Linked DNA regions of Arabidopsis thaliana. The protein of the gene in region 3 interacts with the protein of the main gene of each other region in a pairwise test. Each region holds a gene or a part of one and is shown on either strand. Other genes may lie near its edges.

Region 1 (3,868 bases), on a different chromosome or scaffold from region 3:
TTGTTTGATTGTTTCATTCATAACTTTAGTAGATCTAAAGTTGTGTTTCTCTAAATTTCACTAAAATATCTATTTTCCTTATATAAAGATTATGTTTGTCATATTATTTAATTTAAAGATTATAAACTTATGATATAATTTTATGCAAATTGTAAATATAATAACCATTTTAATAAAAGATTTTCTTATATATCATTCATTATTGATTAATATTTTAATCTAAATTACGCATTTTAAGCTAAGATCAATAATATTCATTTTAAATTTTGTTATCAGCTATTCAGCTAATTAAATTGTTTAAGAAATGTATCAGTTTTTATGTCATTTTTTTTCTGTTTACTCATGCTTTTTTTTTTCCCCTTGTTTACTCACAATTTAAAATCGTACTCCGATCTAATTCAAACCAAAATTTAATTACTTGGAAATCTCTTGAATCACATAAAGTGACATACTTACTTGTGTAAAACCCGGACGTCCGCAACCATTACATTCTTATGGTTTCTCAATCAAACAAGTCTATGAAAAAAAAATCAATTCGGTACACACAAAAAGTCTAACATCTTAATTATTATCAGCTAGTCTGTCTTTGACAATTCATGAGTTTTTTTTACTTTTGAATTTTCTTTAGCTTTTTGTCCATGTGTTAGCCATGGATCAGATAACAACAGATTATAAACCATTGGATTTGATACTAAGAACTAGAAGAATAGAGGAAAAAGATCGAGTGGAAATTTAATCAAATGATAGACATTTTAATTACAAAATAAAAAATAATGGTCCGATTTGAACGCCTATCCTTAAAACAAACATCTTGTATATGCACACGGTCGATCTCTAATTATTGATATCCGATGAACAGATTCCGCAAAGATCCTACAAAACCAAAACAACAAGTTAAGTATCAATATATAAGAAAGAGAGTATAGTAGTCATTACTCAATAAGTCATTTTTCTTGAAATATAGAGAAGTAAACTTACTTCCATGTAACATCCCCTCGAAGTAGCCAGTCACCCTCTTTCCCTTGGAAGGTGAATGTATAATTTGTATCTTCTCTGTCGCAATCTTCATCTGATAACCCAAAATTAGATTCAATAGTAGTAAAAAGTTACGTTCTATTTTCAATTGTTTATAGGTTTCTTACTCTAGATTTTGATAAACGTAATTAGTACTTACATTCGGTAAACATAGTGATCAAGGAGTTAGTGAGGGACTCGTAAGAGTTAAAAAGCTTGATATCCACTTTTCTTGCTATTGCCACACCATCCATCTTAACCTTAACATACATTGATGATCTTGATGATATTGACGAAGAAGATGATGATCCCACAGTAGCCGTTGTTGGATTAGATATGTTGTTGTTCATCGCCGTGATCCTCCTACCACGATGATGATACGGGCAATGATGGTGATTACGAATATGACGATGATGATAACTACCATACTTTATCATACATGTTTTTACTGGTGGCCATCCAACAACTTCGCTATTTTCCTCCTCATCACTAAATATTAAAATTAATTATATGTTACAAAAAAATACAAATTATGCCTCTCCATTGAGTTAACTACAAGTCTACAACATCATAACATTTTTGAAAACTACGGAGTCATTTATTATATAATAATACTAGATGTAACTACTTTAACCTAATTGTTGTCAAATACTAAAATAGTCAAGGTACTCACTCGTAAACTATTGAAGACTCGGATTCCAGAGGATCTTCGTCTTCCTCGTTGGGCTGGCCATTCAAGGCAAACAAACGCTGTTTTGGCATATAACAATTTTCCTCCACATTCCCTAACCCAAACGTCGCCTCAAAACGCAGTTTTTCGGTACCCAAACAAGACGCAGCACCCTCGATCGCACAATGCTTGTTGAGGTCAAAGTTAAACCCTAACTTGGAAGATTTATGAGGTGAAAGAGATAGACCAAGATCCAACTCCATTTCTAAGGCAGCTTCGTCTTTGATGAAACTAAAAGCTTTTGTTCTTTTATTATTGGCTTTGGAAAAGGTTGTGTTCGTTGGTGTTGATTGCTGAATTAGAGGATCATGAGTATTCCTATTTATAGTAAAAGGAAATGGGGGCAGAGGTCAAGGAGTAATATATGGCTTTATCAAAAATATACATATATATGTATATAATATTATGTACATTTTATGTAACCCACACAAATATAGATGTGGATAGATGGTATCTTAACCAACACGCTACTATTTATTCTAAACAACTAAAACAGTAATCATTCAAGTATTAGAATATACTAGTAATTTATATCGTTAAATTCTGAACTTTTAGTTCTATATCTTCTTGGCCCATAATATAGAACATATAGTTGGCTAGGATAATTATTATCTTAAAATGTTTCATAGTAGTATGTAAATCTAGACCCAACATGACTGAAGTAACGTTTCACCAGATAACTTATCTTTTTACGAATATTCATCTCTATAAGATCCAATGAAGTACGAAATCATATAGTTTAGGAAGTAACACAAAACCAATAGTCTATACCAAAAACAGGTGATACTAAACAGTTTTAGATTTTCTGATTTTTATGAATATATGAAATTTATGGCTTTCACGTTAAGCGAAAGGTAGTGAGGAAGTTCCTAGTTCTCCGAAGGAAAAAGGTCTTTTGGGAGAGAAGTAATGGCTTCCGACATTGATTAAGTTCGGGTCGGCCAATATCCCAACATTGATGCTAACACATTTTTACATTATTTTATCTAAAGTTTTATGCTTTTCTGCTTTAAATACATCTTATAAATTTTATTTTTATATTCAAGATCCACCTTATCTACACTGTATAACAAGTTCTCACCTACTTTTAATTTCAAATTTTGATCAAAACATAACATTATTACAAACGATTATATCATAAATTCCGCTCATTATATAATGAGCAAAACTTGCAAAATAAATTTATGGAAGGATTTACGGCTGCTAACTTGTGTTAGATGTGCGTCTTTAATTCATACTTTTGGCAATATGACAATCAACATATTTTAAAAAAAAAAATTAAGCATGTACTAAAAGAATGATAAAGTGCATCTATACTAAGAAATAAGAAGATGCATATTTCGTCAAGAGACACATGATTCAACGAATTTAGACATCCAACATCAAACCAACACGAATATTAGTAATAGACAAGTTTGGTTAATGTTGGAACGGACAACGTCCCATATTTTTGTTTACATTCTATGTTTCCAATAGAAAATTTGGTTTCGCACGGAAAAGGTGGAATTTAAGAATCATTGTATACAATACTATAAATGTGATACTTAAACTGATAACTGTAAGTAATACTCCTAGCAAACTCTGATTTTTCAGCTTGTCATAACTTTTGTTAACCTTTTAAGAGACAAAACTATCACTAGACATTTATAGCTTGACTCACTATACAAGTATTGACTTCATCAGTTGCAATTTTGTGGGGAAGAGTTGGATCAAATTATGAATAAGGGCTATTAAGTACGGTTTGCCTATCCTGAGGTACTTTGCTCTATATGGGAAGGAACATAGTTATTACTTTTTATAAACATAAATTTTGACAACTGTTGTTTTTATTGTAACCAACAAATTGAGGATCTTTATAGCTTATAGTTTCTTTGGATTGATTACGTAAACTAATTGAAACGACTAGTACCTCCTCCCCTATTTGACTAGGATACAATCATACAACGTAACAGGTTGAATTGCCGACATATGATTTTATTAAAACCAGTGTTTAAAAACTGATATTAGACTATCTGGTCGAACCAAATTCATTTATAAACAAAATAAAGCAACACAATTACCATGAAGACTAGAAAAATACGATAAGTAAAGCTATAAAAATATGGTGTTGTTTCAATTTTTAAT
Region 2 (4,751 bases), on a different chromosome or scaffold from region 3:
AAGACCTTTTGCTGATTTATAAAAACTGACTTTAGTTAATATTGGTTTTTAATTTCTGTAATTTTTGGACCCTAAAACCTTAAAGAAAATTGAAAAAAAAATTGAGGACCCTGTGCTTTTGCTCCTCTAGCACTCCCCTAGAGCCGGCACTGGTGCGACATTTTGCAACAAATGAAACAACGGAATTTTCCAACTCATTATGTTGCGGCTATCGCTTTACATATGTTTCGAAAATGTTTCTTTTTTGGTTTGGTTAAAAGTTAAAACATATACCATTATTTAGCTACCAAAAAATGTTATTATCAAACTATTTGGCTGCATCAATTTCAATGGTTATATTGTTTAACCACAACACTCATCTGGTAATGAGAAGGACAACTTCGAATAAAATTTTTAAGATGAATACAAGTCGGCCAAGTGATGCTTGTGGTATGAATATATTTATCACGAAAACAATGTGCTAAATTAAACATATCTATAGTGATGTTTTAGTCGATCCACCAAGACACTGTCCAATAAGTTACAATGTGTATGTATGATTTAAAAAGTCAGGATAAAAAGCTGCTAAATTCTGCACCTAGAAGAACAAAAGAGATGATATAGCCACCAAAATTATCACGACATGGACTGATCTCATTCTGAAAAGTCTTTTTTGAGTTTTCAACTTCCAATCTTATCTTCTTATATACATGCATACTCAGGTTAAATAGTAAAAACAAGAAGAAAAAAAAAGACAACAACAAAAACAACAATAATGGCCTTTCATTCTCAGCTTTTTACATGATTAAAGGTATAGCCAAAGTTGGAAGGAACAAAAGTTAAAAGAGCTTTTACAGAGAATAAAAATTTCATCTTCTTTTTTCAAAAAGAGTTTTGCAGACATGCATGAGATAATTATTACAGTATGTTCTAATTATCTCCTTAATTAATTAAAATGCTTATAAACACAGATTGCTTATGTAATCTCATCGTCTAGTGTCTTGAAGACATGGGAATATCAGATCAGATCAAATGTTTCTCTGGACCAAAAAAAAAGTAAAAAACCAATGATTAACTCTTATATATAACAAAAACCAGATGTACATTTATAAAGCTTTGAGACTCTCTGTCTGAAATAAAAGTTTCTAAAAAGACTCTTCAGTGCATCATCTTCTCTTGCTTACTGCATCCAACTGCAAATATACAGAGGAACCCTTTTAATCATATAGCTCTAATAAATCATCTAAACATATAAGAACAGAAGCTTACATGTCAAGGCAGATGAAATCTCAGAGCTTTTAATCACACGCAGTCTCTTCACAGATGAAACAAACATTCTGTGTTTAAAAACAAAGATTAAAGATCAGTTAGTATGCAAAAAAAGAGGTATAAACAAATCTCCAAGCAAAATTCTATTCTTTAGGTAAAGAATTATCAATTTGAATTACTACTACTATTGATTAAAAGCTGAGAACTTTTGTTGTTATATGATCAAGAATCTAATTCTGCAAAACACTGAATCAGATTCAGAGAACAAAAGGGGAAAAGATTCTTACTGCCATGGAACATCCCCAACAAGCATCTTGTCCCCTTCATTGTCTTCATAGGTTAAAGTAAATTCTCCTTTCCCATCTAATAATCCAATGATAGGTTTCTCTTCTCCTTGACCATCAGAGATATCTCTTTGAGCTATAAACCAACAACATACACAAATCATACTCAGTAAACACAAGTAACACTCCTAAAGAACTAAAAAACAGAATTTGAGATTAAGATTTAACCTGCGAGTAGACCTCTGAAGAGTTTGTCAACGACAAAAGAGAGCTGTTCGTAGCTGTTGTAAGCATTGAGATCAACTTTACGACCAATAGGAACACCATCCATGTTGATCTTGACAAACATTCCTTCCTTCTTGGTTTCAACTTGTTTTTCACCATCATCACTCTTGTTGATTTGACCTCCATGAGAGGATTCGTTACCTAGCTTTGAAGAGCTTGTGCTCGCTAGATTCTTTCTGAACGAACGAACCGGAGGCCAACCCACCACTGGACCAGGAGCAGTTCTTTGAACCAGATATCAAAAGAAACAAGAGACATATGTCAATACCAAACGACAAAAACAGAGCAAAACAGAGTAAATGTTGAAACTTTTAACATGTGAAGGTAAAAAAAAAAACACAGATTGCAGAAGATGGGTCCCTAATGTTCAAGAGAATATCCTCTGTCAAAGCAGTAAGAAAAAATAACAGTGAAGGAAAAAAAAGGAGATTATACCTTTTCTGTGAGATGTGAGGAACAGAAGTGGTTTTGTTGGAAGGAGAGAAGTGATTGCCATTAAAACAGTGGAAAGATTTGTCTTCTGTTTCCTTCTTGATGTTTCTTATCTCTGTGTTCTTCTTCTTGATTGCTGAATGATCTTCTTCATCACCACCGGGTGGTCCAAGCCTTAGCTCAAGTTTCTTCTCCTGATCTGTGTTGTTCTTGTCTTCTTGGTACCATTTCCTTCCTTGTGGAATCAAATCAAGAAGTTTTGGACCGATTTCTCTGTTTCTTGGACAACCTTCCATTGATCAACCCAAGATTCCTTCTATACGTTAACTATGTATGAAATTGAAATCTATAGCTTCACTAAACCCTAAGAACCCCTTTTAAAGAAACAATCCCACAAAACTGAGAGCGAGAGAGAGAAAGAGAGATGTGTAATGAAGGTATGGTAAGAGAGCAGTGGTGGGATTTTATACAAAATCAAAGCTTTTTTTTTCTCTCTCTCGTGCACGCTTTGGTGGGTTCTCTCTCACACAGCCTTACCTTTTTTTCTTTCTCAATTTGTTGTTCTCTCTCTCTAAAGATTCTGAAAGGGACGAGAAGAGAAAAAATAGGAATACAAAGAAAAGGAAATTTGGATTTGTATGAACAAAAAAAAACTCAGAAAAAGGTAAAGCAAAGTAGAGTGACTCCACTTTTACTCCTAAACCCCAAAAGTAGAAATGAAAACTACAATAAATTTACAGATTGCATACCAAGAAAAACAGTAATTGTTCTTGACATGAAAAGAGAATACTGTGAAAAAAAAGAAGTGGGTTTTAACGTTTTTGGTTTTAGGAGTTCTTTTGTGGAGTAAAACACACGCAACCTTGTCTTTTTTTCTGCCTCAAATATCGCTAATTAAGGGTTTGTCTAGTAAAAGAAGCAAAGCGTGCTGTTCTGTTTCTCACAAGTATACGAATTAGAAAAATAATTAAATGCGTAATTCCAATAAACAACTTGACCATTAAAAAAATACTAATAAGAGTAATTAAAATATGATAACAATAAAGGAACTAAGGGAAGATCCCATAATTTATGGTCTGTTTTTAGGACCACTCTCTTATCCACTGTCCATAAGACACATATCCCTATGCTTTTCTAAAAACATTTTTCTATAGGTCGTCATGGTAATTTGATACTTTAATAGTAATACTACCATTCTACAAAGATATACATAAAGCAAATAATAAATGAACATCATGGGAAGATCAATTGAGAGAATTCAAGAAATGGGTGAGGCATTGTATAAACATACGAATCTGCATGGCGTCTCAGTGAGATATATGTAATTATTTATTTATAAATTTGCCACACAATATGTCAATTTGTTAGGTAGCTAAACAATTATTTTGTCAAAAGTTAAAAACAATGTGTACGTGTGGATTACGATGGTATAATTTAATTTGCTTCCCCAACCAAGTAAATAGTCAACTGTTTGTTTGTTTTTCCTAATCAAAAATTTTCTTTTCTCAAATCTACAAAATCAACATATTTTGATAAAAATAACAAAAGAAAAGACTTTAGCAGAAACAATTGTAGTTGGTCCTTTGATCTTAAAAAATGTACATAATTTTGCAGCGTAAATCAAGAACATATTTCAAGTTTTTCAACCAAAGATTGAAGCTATTTTATTTGGTTTTTCAGGAGGGGGAAAAGAATGTACATGTCTCTCCCACGTACGTGTGACACCGATATTACGATAAAGCCGACGTAGAAAAATCTCGAGTGAGAGTTCCGGTCAAGTAAGGAAGGGTAATTTAGGAAATTGAAGAAGGAGTGTGTCTCTAGTCATATCTTGTCGCCGTTTTACCCAACTCCGTGACTTTCTTCCCTCACTGTCAGACAAAACCTTAACCATGGTTAACATAACCTGAACCTCTCCGGTTTAACTTAACCGCACTAACTAGATCCGCACAGACAAACTAGACAGTGGACACATGTTGAAGTTGCACAAGATTTTGAGATCGTACGATAAGGTTTAAATTTGGGCTTTAATCAAAGCCGTAGAAGTGAATAGAGATATAGCAAATGTGACGGCTGTGATTAAAAGAGTACAAAGCAAAGCATCCGATTAAAAAAGTAGCCGACTCAGGAGAAAAGGAACAAAAAAACAACTCGTGAATTGAATGTCATATCAAGGGAAATAAAGAAAAGCAAGTGAGAATAGTGGTGGTGTCAATGATGCTCTTCCTAGAATTTTCACCAAGAAATAAAATTATTTTTATCCACTCACTAATTTTTTTAGTGAACTAAAAAAGGAGTATATGTAAGAAATTGATATCATTTTAACAAAATAAAAAGAGGAATAAAAGAAAAAATAATCCAAATATGGATAAGGTCTGAACTGATCCTCTAGTATAACTGGCCCATGAAAATCACGCTGAAAATGAGCCCAATTGTTGATCATCAATGTTCATGAACTTCATGCCTTTATGGAAAAATGGGTTGACTATTGAGTTTTGACTA
Region 3 (7,411 bases):
TTTGATGTGTCATCCATATCAGACCTATCACTATATGTGTCGATGGTAGAATTACAAGGAGCTAGAGAACCACTTATTTAACTATGCAGTTTTGTATTGTTGTAAGATAATGGCATAAACTGATACAATTGAAAGTTTTTCCATAAACTCAGCAAGTTTGATAAAATGTTTGTTGTGTTTCTGTGACGATTGAGATTGTCGGCTTAAGGCGGTAGTATGCCAGAGTTGCCGGTGTTGTGTGTTTCATATGGTTTAAAGTCTTGATTTAGATAGAGTTCTACCTAAATACAAGTTTGGTTATGAAGAGCCATATGATAGAATGAAACCATAGATCACGAAACTTTGATCATGTGTTTGCCATGGTGTCATCTTTCTGTTTTTCAGCGGATTCGTTTATATGGACATGAGCATAGCTAGAGAAATAAACTTGAAAACCCAAACCTTGTTTTCCTCATTGTTACAAGGGAAACAACAAATTTTAGCATCCAGTTTTTTTTTCAAAGTACTTTAAAAAGAGGGCTCACTGTTTTGCTCATTGCAAGCTTAATTTTCAGATTGTAGCTAGAAACATCCGAATTTATTTAATGTAAGGATTCGAAATGGAATCCGTTTGTTAAGAGGTCTTACAGTTTCGTGAATATATCTATATCACCGTCTAATACGAAAAGCTGCAAAATACCGACAAGACCAGACCAAAACCAAAAGTCAGCAAGAGAATAAGTTGAGAAAATGTGAATCGACAAGATAATTAAAAAAGGGCAAGAGCTTGAAAACTTATGTACATTGGGATTAATATAAACAATAAAAAGACTTCAAGAGATCTTTGGAAGAAGGAAAAAAATACATCCATAAAAAGAACCGATACCAGCCTCCGACTACAACTCCACACCATCATATTCTACTTATAAAAGAGCTTTTCATATTCTACTATATAATACCTGTAACCTTTTTATGTTTTACTTTATAATATCTATTAATTATTATTAGATAGATAATAAGGGTGATGGAAGATGCTAATTATCTAAGTGGCCAACAAAATACTTCAAAAATTGCATTTTTAATATCTTATCTTAAACCCATCATCCCATTTTGCTCTCCAGTCTCCACCAATCGACCCCCATCCTGCTGTCATTAACAGAACAAACATCAGTCGAATGTAATGACATAAACTTTTGGCTGTGTCTCTAGTCTACTAATATCTCAAAAGCTTTTACATACCTCGGCTTGCAGCAAAAGGGTTGTTGGTTATTTTGTTTGTTTAAGAGTTCCCAGCGCTGGACAATGAAGGATTTGATGCAGACTTGGCGTCCTTTGCATCTGATCCTTCCCCAACAACTGCTTCTTCCTCGCTCCTACAGCTTAAAGTCCCCGGGTTCATCTTCCTCACTTCCTCTTTCGTGTATATGAAGATTTTGCGAACCATGCAACAAAACTCCCTGCAAGAGAGATCATTGTGTCAGTGTTATAAGAAAAACACTAACATCGATATAAACTAAGATGGAAAATTTGCAAAATCTTACTGCCAAGGATCGTCACCAACAAGCATCATATCATTCTCTTCATCTGTGTAAACTATCAACCAATCTTTCTTAGGAGCCATCAACTCTCCATTGAACTCAAACAGCCTGTCCAGCTCAGCGACTAACTCCTCATAGTTTTGGAACTTTGAAAGATCCACTGAACGGCCAAGTGCAATTCCCTGCTTGTGAACCTTTACATCAATGTGTCATGTGTTAGTTGAAAAGTGATTCAAGGGTTATCACAACCTCATACACTTTGTGCTACATATTGCAAAAATTTACCTTTGTGCAACTCCTACTTGAGTTGGTTTTCGTTTGAGCATCCTTCGGATGAGGATTATTAGTCTGGAATGGTCTTCCCTGTTCACGATGATCGTTTGTTGATTTTGACCCTTTTGACTGATCTGAAAGGTCCTGAACCTTTGGTGATGCTATCTGTGTAAGCCCCGCAGCATCATTCAAGTTGTTTCTCTGAGACATGGTTGAGTCTGTCCCATTCATGTTGTTGGTCAGAGGAATGCCAAAGAGCCTGCAGTTCCCTTCTCTTGACTTTGCTGTCTCCTCTTGTATCGTGAAGGGTTGTTTTGTTACTTGCTCCCTAGCCTGAGCTTGCGCTTGAGCATTGACCACTTCCTCATAATAATTCAAAGCACGTGGACGTATTGGCCAGTTACCACCAGCATTCTCAGTCGATAGACCATTAAGAACAGGATATTCGCTGTATTTAACATTGCATCGCCCTTGGAGAGACGCATCAGTTGCTGCAGGTACCTTAGGAGATTCATGTAACTTCAGGGAGAGACCAGAGTGTATCATCTGCCACTGGTTAGCAAGATAATCGAACTTGCCTTCTGAATCACTCAAGATTCTCTTTGCAGGCATAGAAGGTGATGATGAATGGTCATAAAAAGGTATCCGCTGACCATGGGATGGATCTATGTTAGTCCCAAAGCCGGAGAGCAAATCTGTGTAAGTAGGTTCATGCCTGGCTGAGGACATCCAGTTCTCAGATCCATATCTTCTAGAACCCGAAACCACGTCAACCTTATCATCATCCGCTGAAGATTGCCAGACAACAGAATTCTCAGGAGCATCACACTCTACACTCTCAGTATGTTTCGTCCTCAAGGTCGAGTATTCTTGACCTTGCAAGACCCTTGAAAGTCCGCTTGCTGGTAAAGGGTCCATGTTTGCCTTAGTTGTACCTGTTTTGTGTACAATGAATTAGACTCCCACTGACAAGTTCAATTAAGTTTCAGACGCACTACTATGTGTACTACAGTGGAAGGGGAAGACATTACCTTCTCTGGTAAGCATCGAAGAGTCAGGAGATGAAGGTGCTATATTTGATCTGGGCCTCTTAGGCCTAGGCATTGGAACAGGACTCAAAGCAGGAGGAGCAAGAGCTGGCTCTACTTTCCACGGAGATACTCTATCAGGTCGAGGAATACTAGAAGTCTCATCCCATCTCACCTGAAAGACAATTGAACAATCAGCATTCATTATATTCAAACAATAGTCTTGATCCTCTCTAGAAACTAGGTCATACCTTGAGGGATCTCCACTTTGATTTTGGCCACCTAGTAGGATCAGACTCTTCAATCCCAACGATTGTGCCAGTAAACCTAATATAAATCAATACAACTTGTTAGGTTCGTTATTCCAAGAGAAAAAGGCTCAAGAGCTAACATATTTCAAAAGCAGAAGACAGGTTTTACCTCTGCTCAGGAGCCTCTTCGCCTTCAAATCTCATTTTGAATCTCATGCCAATAGAGTAGTTATTCTTAACAGACTCCATATACTGATCGAACGGAACAATAAACTCAGATGGGCTCGTCCTGTATTAAACAAAACAACACCGCATGAAAATTTAGTAGAGTGATTCACTACCAAGCATCAGACATATAGAGACATACAAAGCAAAGAGCTCAAAAAACTGAAAGCTGTTTTGTGAGCTAATACAAATACAAACCTGGGTTTGTAGTAGACTGTAAACATAGTCCCTGTTGAAATGGCATGCCATGCGGTGGCCAGTACTCCAAGATGCATGCTATGGCTAGATATAACAGAAGACGGCACGTTTCCTTGTTGTCGCATCGCACGCCTTACACCAACTCTTAATTCTCCATTCTCGCCCCTGTAGAAGATTAAGATATTCCACATTATAGAAACTAACAGATACAGCTAAAGAAAACAATGAACTAAAATCCACAAACCTTAGAAATATAAACGCATCGCCTGCAACTAGCCTTTTGGAGCTAACAAACACACTCCACCCACTCTGTAGCAAATGCCTCCGTGGTTGACCTGGTCCATTATCACAAACATCAACAACCAGATAAGTTTGATGACACACAGACTCGAGAAAAACAGAAAATAAAAAAGTTACAGATTCCTATACCCCGGAATATATGTCTGAATCGCCACTCATTTGCATGCAAATCCTTTGCAACTAACTCTTGAGTGGGAGGCTGTCGAGACATATCCTGAGGGAAGAAACAAAAAATGAATTGAAGGCAATCTTAGAACAAAATTCAGGAAAAATAAGCCAATGAATAGATAGTTAGAAGCGCAAATGAAACACCAACCAGAGGTGGGAGACATTCATCCGCATGTCGCCTAAGAACAGAAAATCCACCATGTGTACTTGTGTCGGATGCAGTCAAGGTTTTGCAGAACGAATGCACCTGGAACCTCGGAGGTGGAGGAAGAGGCGCTTCTTTCTCAATTGCATTCTCGTCTTGCTGTATGGAACAAAAAATATATAGAATTCAGCATCTTGAAGAATAAGATCACCTCTACAACACTCAAACCAATAAATCAGAAAACAAAACTTACATTAGCCTCAGGAAGAAGAGTAATCTGCGCATAAACTTCATCTGTATCTGCCTCTGCCTGTAAAATCATAAACAAAACTCTTGTTAGCTGACAATCCAAGACACAGAAACCAAAATTTTCCAAGAAGTTAAAGAAACCTACCTTTAAATCTACATTAATAACTCGACAGAGAAGCTTTGACGGAAGATCATAGAGAGGCATCTGTTGTTCTGCCGCCTGGTTCGTCGAAGCCTCCACCTAATCATAAAACAATGGAAACCGACAAAGTTCATTAGAAAATATCTCAACAGGTACGAATCACAGAGGGGTTAACTCAAAGATTTAGCCAAAAATAGCAAGAACTCATAGATGAAATATCTCACCTGCTCGATGTGTCCTTGAGGAAAATAGAAGACTCGGTCGTCTTGTCTAGGAACCGTCACAAGCGGACCAGCACAAGCGTGCCATAGCTCTCTGTAAAGAGCAGCCTCAGGGTCCACTATGAAGACGAAGAAGAAGAAGATAAATTAGATCAAGTCAGTCTGTAACCAAAACCAAGCTTAAGAAACCCTAAGAAACGGAGACTTACAAGCACGCTCAGCCGCAGCGGATCGGGTAGAATTACTTTTTTGCCCCTCGCCGGCGACGGAGACATTTCTAGTCTCCTTAGGGTCACTAAAACCAGAGGAGGAGAAGTTATCTCCTCCACGATTACCTTTCATTGAAACCTCCGAACTCGCCATACCTTCCGAAGCTCAGATCTGTTTCATCTGGTACCAAATAAGCCTCTAAGCAGACGATATCAACAAGAAATCTCCAAATCCGTCTCTGAAAAAGCTCAAAACTCGCTTCGGTAGTCCACTTGATTCCTTCCTTTGTCTTTATCTCACTAACAAACACAATCACCACTAGTTTAGCTCCTTGACATTACTCGATAAAACTATCAGAGAAGATAAACCCTAGAATCAAACGATAAAACCACCAATTTCACCTCAAATTGCCTCCGATTTAGAGATACGACAACTCCAAAGCTCTCTCTCTCTCTCTCTCGCCGTCCTCGCTAGTCTAGGCTTTATCGGAGTCACAGACGCTTGAATACCGACGACGAGCGATTTTCTCTTGTTTTGTCTCTCAGAGTTTGTCTCTCTAACATTCTCTCTCTTTTTATTTCTTCGTCTTTCCTATCCTTTTGTTTTTCTGGGTATGAGGCGACCAATGGGCTTAACCAGAGGTAGTCAAAACTCAGCTTCAATCATTTCAACCGCGGTAAACTTCTAACCCATATGGATAACCGGCATTCACCGGTTACCATTCCCTCTTTCATACCGGCTATTACCGGTTGTAACCATTTCCGGGGGACCAGGGTCTGCGACCTCACAAAACCAAAGACAAGTGACGATTTTATTTTCTTTCCTCCACTTTTTCTTATTTTTTAATAAAGCCTTTTCAATAGAAAAAATTGACATATCCTTTTCTAAAATTTAATTTTTTAAAAAACAAATTGGAGAAGATAAATTGAAGAAAAGACCCAAATTGCAGACATTTCCAAGTCGTATTTCCCCAGAAATATAGCAATTTAAGTCATCCTAAAATTGTTGACCAAAACAATTCTTGAAAAAACTATGGTCTGGTAGTATTTATTTACTGGTGACTGTGAGTTGAATACTTTTATTTATTTACAGTTACTGTGAGTTGAAAAATAAATACTCAAGTTGCCAAAAAAAATCCATTAGGGGAGAAAATAAATTAAATGTGTAGAGGGGATTAGCAAGTAAGAAAGGCTGCTTTACTTTTTTAGATGGGACTAACGGCGTCAACAAGTCGTGAGCAAGCGTCAACTTTTGATTGGGTAAAGAGGATAACGGTGTTTGGGAAAGAGAGCGTCAATGGGAAAGGTGTTGTGTTTTTATTGGGAAGTGGCTTTGTCGTGCTGTGAACAGGCAGGTCTGGGTGGACGTAGAGAGAACGAGAGAGGGAGAAAAATGCTACGTGGCACCAGAAAAATATGTGCATTTTAGCATTTTAAAGATATTTCGGATGTCATTTTCTATGGTCTTTTGGCTATCGTGCGCCTCTAGGAATTTTCGTCTCGTGAATCTCTCGTACTTTAATTTACCCTGTTTTTCTTTTTATGGAAAAACAAAGACGTTTCATTATCTGTTTTTTATTTTCTCTAATTCAATTACAACTCAGATATATAAAAGATCGTCGAATATTATACGAACCTCAACCATATTTATGATATCCTGATGGCAGAACAAAAAATACGAAGCCTTAACAGTCATTCGATAGTTATTTTAAACTAGTAGTTGATTTTATCTAAAATCATTTGCTGAACAACTAAATTAACTCTTGGATTACCACTTAATACAGCTGGCTAATGGGATGAATCTGCTTCAAAAATTAAATTTCCGTATGCCCCGTCATAATTACATATTTACATATATTGTTGTAAGTGGAAGCGTTAAAAAGGAAGAAAATCTGGTTTATAGACAAGAGTTTATTGTAGTCCACTCATACAGCTGGCAAATAAGATTAATTAGTGTTCCTAAAAAAAAATTAAGTCCAAATTACGAATGAATTAAATCAACCTTTTTCTTTTATAGTAGTATCTACTAAAACGTTGGCCATGTTCTTTTGTTGATTGCTGCGTCAGCTACCTGCGACCCAAAAAAAGTTCTCATCTCTTTTTCACTTTCATTTCTCATTTTTTTCATCTCTGCCGCATCGACTGTAATTCGGCCATTCCGTAGACGCTGGAATTTTCAGCGTCTCAAATTCCCTTTCTCCTATCTCTTCAGATCTGTCGCTGCGACTCTTTCATTCATCTCACCTTCATCTCTCTTTCTTTTTTTCTTTATATTTTATACCGTCGGTGCTTGTCGCAGCGATAAACAAAAGAACAAGGTAAATATCAAATAACTAATCGCGACAAAACTTTTTATTTTCTTCTAATTATTATATATCGTTTAATATTTAACACACGCACACTATTTTGCACAAATTATTTTTAACAACACGTAAACTATCTCTCTGTGAAACACAAAATCTATTGCAAAATTACAAACCATGAA
Region 4 (4,573 bases), on a different chromosome or scaffold from region 3:
AAAAAAGTAACTATAAGGTCTCATATTGCTGCTTCGAATAGTTAGGCAAGACTCTCAACGAAAAAGACTTCTCTTCAATTTTTCTATTTTGTACTCTCTTTATCAATATTCCATACCCACCAATTTTTTCTTCCTTTTTTCCTTTTAAACGATTTGATCGTATGAATACATATGCTTATGAACAACCCTTTATTTTATATATCTATTCTACGAAACACAAAAGCTAAACTAGAAACATAAATTTAGAGATGATTATACATAGAAACTATATCATATCAAGTATTATCAAATATGTAGATCAATAATCAGAAGATGATAATCTAATGATGTCTGTAATTTTGTTGCCCAAGAGTCCAGACAAAGATGAAAGATGTGGTTAGACAATGGTTTGAATATCTGTCCTAACAGCTCATTTAAAGAAAAGTTGTTCAATGTTTTAAAACCTTTCACTCTCATAGTTCATTACAATAGCGGATACCCTAAGTATAGATTTAATAAAAGCTAAAGAGCTTTTTGGCAGAGAAAAAGATTGTTTCTTTTCTCCGTTTTTCGAAAAGGATGCTTTGCTGACATAGGGAGAGTTACATTACTTAAAAGTGTTGATCAAGTGTGAATAATCATTACCAAAACTTAAAAACAGAAGACTATTATAATATGCCTAAAAGGGTTTGTAAATTTACTCAAGACCCCAAAATCATCATTGCACTGTTTGGTCTTTGAGTTCCAACAAAACTCTATGATATCTCAAAAGCCAAAAGAAGATGTAACAAACCAGAATGTACATCAGACTTATATCAGAAACTTTTCCAAGACCAAAAACTCATCAAAGTTTAAAGGCAAAATGCAATTAATAACATCTCTCTACTTCTTTAAAAGCTGTAAAAGATCTTTTTCTTCATCTTCTCATTTTCTCTTGCTTACCATTTCCATCTGCAAATTTCAAAACAACAAAAAAACATTCTAAGAACTTCACTTAAAAGAGTCACCAAAACAACTAAAAAATGTTATTAAAATCCTACACTTACATGTTAATGCTGAAGAAATCTCAGAAGTTTTAATCACACGCAGCCTCTTCACCGAAGACACAAACATTCTGACAATTTAAGAAATAATCAATTTTAGTGATCAAAAAGTCCACAATCTTTAATAGCTTAACCAAACTAAGTTTGTTATTAATCAAACTGTGATTAAGATATAATAAATATGTGACTAGGAATCTAATACTTCTCCTTTAGATAGAACAAAAAGCTGACTCAGATTCAGAAAAAAACGAAAAAGAAAAGAAAAGATTCTTACTGCCATGGAACATCTCCTACAAGCATCTTGTCTCCTTCATTGTCTTCATATGTAAGAGTATATTCTCCATTCCCATCTAATAATCCAGTGATTGGTTTTTCATCTTCTATGGATGATGGAAAGTCTCTTTGAGCTGATAAAATAAGAACAATTAGAGTTCAAAATTCAACCCTTTTTTAACCATAATCAATAGAGAGACAAAGGTTTCAAATTTACCTGCAAGAAGACCTCTGAAGAGCTTGTCAACTGTGAAAGATAACTGCTCATAGCTATTATGAGCACTGAGATCAACTTTACGACCAATGGGAACACCATACATGTTGATCTTCACAAACATGCCTCCTTGTCTCTTTGGTTCTGTTGTCTTAGCAGCAGCATCACACTTTTGGTTCTTGAGGGTAACACCATTGGAGGTGGTTGAGTCATTTCCAAGCTTTGAAGAACTTCCACTAGCTAAATTCTTCCTGAAGGATCGAACCGGAGGCCATCCCACCACTGGACCAGGAGCAGTTCTTTAAAACACAAAGGCATCAAAACAAAACTTGTTAGTAAGACAAGAACAATCTCAAGGTTAAAAACAGAGGAAAACTAGGGCAGTAAAAAGACTGAAACTTTCAGATGGGAAAAGGGTAAAAAGATGAAAAGTTTTGAGATCCAATCTTAAGCAGACAAGAACAAAGTTTATGCAGATAGATGGGACCTTATTGGCTAATAACAAGTGAATATCATCATGTGAGAAGGATACAAAACAGAGAAAAACAAAAAGTAAGAGATGAGAAGTTTAAAACCTTTTATGGGATGTGGTTTTGGTGGAAGAAGGAGAGAAGTATTTGCCAGCGAGAGAGAGGATAGATTTGTCTTTTGGTTCTTTCTTCATGTGTCTTATCATCGATTCATCATCATCTTCTTCACCAGGTGGTCCAAGCTTTAGCTCAAGCTTCTTCTCCTCTGTTTTGAAAACAGAGTTTTTCTCATCGTGAAACCAATTTCTTCTCTCTTGTGGAATCATCAAGTCAAGCAGCTTCGGAGAGATTTCACCGTTTCTTGAATAACCCTCCATTAGGATTTTTTTTAGAGGAACTACAGAAGAATCTTGCGTTCTTTGACCAAAAGAAGAAGAATTTCGACAAGAAAACACTTCAAAAAGAAAATCTGTCTAGAAGTTGACAACTTGTTCACGCAAAAGAACAAAATTTTATAAACCCATTAGTTAAAATCTCTCTGCTACACTATCCAAAACTCTTGAAGCAACTTAGAAAACAAAAGAGAGGAGATGGAAATGGAATGAGAAGCTAGAGAGGTGATTAAGTGGGACTTTTATACAAATCAAAAGCTTTCGCCTTTTGAAGGGAAAAATGTTAAAACTTTATGGTGGGTTCTTATCTTTTTTCCCACTTTGTGTTCTCTCTCTCTCTCTATCTCTAGATTCTTGAAGGAGAAGAAGTTGGATTTTATACCAAGGAAATGCAGTGAATAGGTTAAAACCAAAGGAAGAAAAATAAGGGGTAAAATTGGAAATTATTAGAAGTTAGTAAATTTGGAGACCAAAAAATAAAAATAAAGGGATTTATTGGTGTGAAACACACGCAATCAATCTTTTTATCTCTCTCTCTGCCCTTAAAGGAAGTTTAGTGGAGGAAGCAAAGCATGCTATTTTGTTTTCTATCTTATTATTCCAATCCCATAGGCCTTTTTTCACCTTTTTATTTAAAACATATTTTCTTTTGACCAATTAAAAAAAATACATACAACAGAAAAACATAAACAAACAATTACTTTGTACAAGTAAAACTTGTGGTGTTGTGTGGTTGACCCAAACAAAACGAGAAGTGTAACTTGAGAATTTGTTATGTTTTTATAATACTAGTAGTGTCACAAAATATGGATATAGGACTAAACAAATATTTAGACCAAAAAAGGAGGACTAAACAATGTTTTTGTAGAGACTTTACACTTTTACAAAATTATTGGGAAAATGTAGAAAAAGCATATTTATATTACGCGAAGTAAAAATCACACCCAATTAAATTAATAAATAGTAGTATATAATTAAAATATGGTTGCCATAAAAAGAAATGGAGGATTCGACGATCTTTCTCTGGTATGTTAGGATCACACCCCTATCGACTCTGTCCTACTCCTATGGGACTTACACATATTCCAATGTTTGGGAAAGTTCAAATGAATTTGGAGATTTTACGAGAAACCCTTCTTTTTCTCTCTCTCAGTCTCTATTGAGTCTCTATTGGGTGATTTAGCTGAATAACCATATTTGACAAACAAATTAAAAATATAGTACCATATATATAAAAATTAAGAAAATAGCATGTAAGGATAAGGAAAAGACAATTTTAGTGTTGAATTGGAGGTAAAATGATTTAGTAACATTTAGTTTAGTTTTTCACCTATTTGTTTTTTTTTTGTTATATATCTTTTCCAAAAAATAAATTCCAATTATAAAATTTATTAGAAAAAACCTATATTTTTTCTACATACAAAATAGTTTGAATTTTTAAAATCGGATTTGAATTTATAAAATAGTAAATAGTGTTTGTAAGTAAAAACATGTACTATTTTGGATAGAAATAAAATGTTGTACTATACTATTTTGGATGTATAGAAAAACTATACCCTAAGATACAACCTTGGCAACTCAAGCAACCAGATAACATAAGTGGTATCTGAAAAATCTATTTTGTCCTTCTCGTTTGTTTGTTATGTGATACAAAAAAAGAAAAAAAAAAAAGATTGAGAGAAGAAAGAAAAAGAGATGAGAGGTGAAGAGAGAAGGAGGGACTTAGAATGAGGTGGAGAAAAATGGGTAAATATACCATTATTATATATAATATAGAGAGTATATCTGTTTTTTTGTTTTGTGTTACTTTCTTAATTTATAAGTTTTTGTTAGTTATTCTTGCAAATTTTCTTCCTTTATTTCGTTTTGTCGTTATTATTTTATAAATTATTACTATTGGCTTTAATTACCATTTACCATCCCATCATATATTTAAACCCAAATGATACGAGGAATTTTTTGTCATCTTATACTTTAGATCGATAGAATTCAGTAAGCTCCAATATAAACTCTCTTTTTTTTTAATCAGGTTAGTTTATTCTGCGTTTTTTTCAAATCAGTCACTAAACAAATAAAATTATTGATTTTAGATTCGAGTTTTGTGTCTACCTTTACATGCAAATAAAAAACACAAGAATTATTGTGTTGCTTTAAATGAACTTAATCACAAGAAGCGTATGTTACCAAAAAAAAAAACTCAAT

The links.
Region 1: the proteins of ARF2 (region 3) and IAA29 interact in binary tests that used the Arabidopsis thaliana proteins (3 or more experiments, as listed by UniProt).
Region 2: the proteins of ARF2 (region 3) and PAP1 interact in binary tests that used the Arabidopsis thaliana proteins (3 or more experiments, as listed by UniProt).
Region 4: the proteins of ARF2 (region 3) and IAA18 interact in binary tests that used the Arabidopsis thaliana proteins (3 or more experiments, as listed by UniProt).

What each region holds. Positions count from the first base shown.
Region 1 is NC_003075.7:15,581,558-15,585,425, reverse strand, and holds IAA29 (indole-3-acetic acid inducible 29), read right to left. Parts: upstream 2,095-3,868; 5' UTR 1,948-2,094; coding exon 1,688-1,947; intron 1,504-1,687; coding exon 1,175-1,503; coding exon of another isoform or gene 1,164-1,174; exon of another isoform or gene 1,070-1,163; coding exon 979-1,069; intron 874-978; coding exon 798-873; 3' UTR 528-797; downstream 1-527. UniProt on the Arabidopsis thaliana protein: Aux/IAA proteins are short-lived transcriptional factors that function as repressors of early auxin response genes at low auxin concentrations.
Region 2 is NC_003074.8:5,611,664-5,616,414, forward strand, and holds PAP1 (phytochrome-associated protein 1), read right to left. Parts: upstream 3,141-4,751; 5' UTR 2,546-3,140; coding exon 2,253-2,545; intron 2,042-2,252; coding exon 1,761-2,041; intron 1,669-1,760; coding exon 1,536-1,668; intron 1,317-1,535; coding exon 1,249-1,316; coding exon of another isoform or gene 1,223-1,248; exon of another isoform or gene 1,173-1,222; coding exon 1,138-1,172; 3' UTR 540-1,137; downstream 1-539. UniProt on the Arabidopsis thaliana protein: Aux/IAA proteins are short-lived transcriptional factors that function as repressors of early auxin response genes at low auxin concentrations.
Region 3 is NC_003076.8:24,908,528-24,915,938, reverse strand, and holds ARF2 (auxin response factor 2), read right to left. Parts: upstream 5,749-7,411; 5' UTR 5,329-5,748; exon of another isoform or gene 5,227-5,328; 5' UTR 5,081-5,226; coding exon 4,927-5,080; intron 4,837-4,926; coding exon 4,721-4,836; intron 4,596-4,720; coding exon 4,500-4,595; intron 4,416-4,499; coding exon 4,359-4,415; intron 4,265-4,358; coding exon 4,109-4,264; intron 4,007-4,108; coding exon 3,922-4,006; intron 3,828-3,921; coding exon 3,737-3,827; intron 3,658-3,736; coding exon 3,493-3,657; intron 3,359-3,492; coding exon 3,239-3,358; intron 3,146-3,238; coding exon 3,070-3,145; intron 2,994-3,069; coding exon 2,822-2,993; intron 2,726-2,821; coding exon 1,803-2,725; intron 1,712-1,802; coding exon 1,521-1,711; intron 1,437-1,520; coding exon 1,259-1,436; 3' UTR 1,219-1,258; intron 1,126-1,218; exon of another isoform or gene 1,123-1,125; coding exon of another isoform or gene 1,066-1,122; 3' UTR 544-1,065; downstream 1-543. UniProt on the Arabidopsis thaliana protein: Auxin response factors (ARFs) are transcriptional factors that bind specifically to the DNA sequence 5'-TGTCTC-3' found in the auxin-responsive promoter elements (AuxREs). Could act as transcriptional activator or repressor.
Region 4 is NC_003070.9:19,303,453-19,308,025, reverse strand, and holds IAA18 (indole-3-acetic acid inducible 18), read right to left. Parts: upstream 2,946-4,573; 5' UTR 2,357-2,945; coding exon 2,085-2,356; intron 1,809-2,084; coding exon 1,513-1,808; intron 1,430-1,512; coding exon 1,297-1,429; intron 1,094-1,296; coding exon 1,026-1,093; intron 931-1,025; coding exon 896-930; 3' UTR 508-895; downstream 1-507. UniProt on the Arabidopsis thaliana protein: Aux/IAA proteins are short-lived transcriptional factors that function as repressors of early auxin response genes at low auxin concentrations.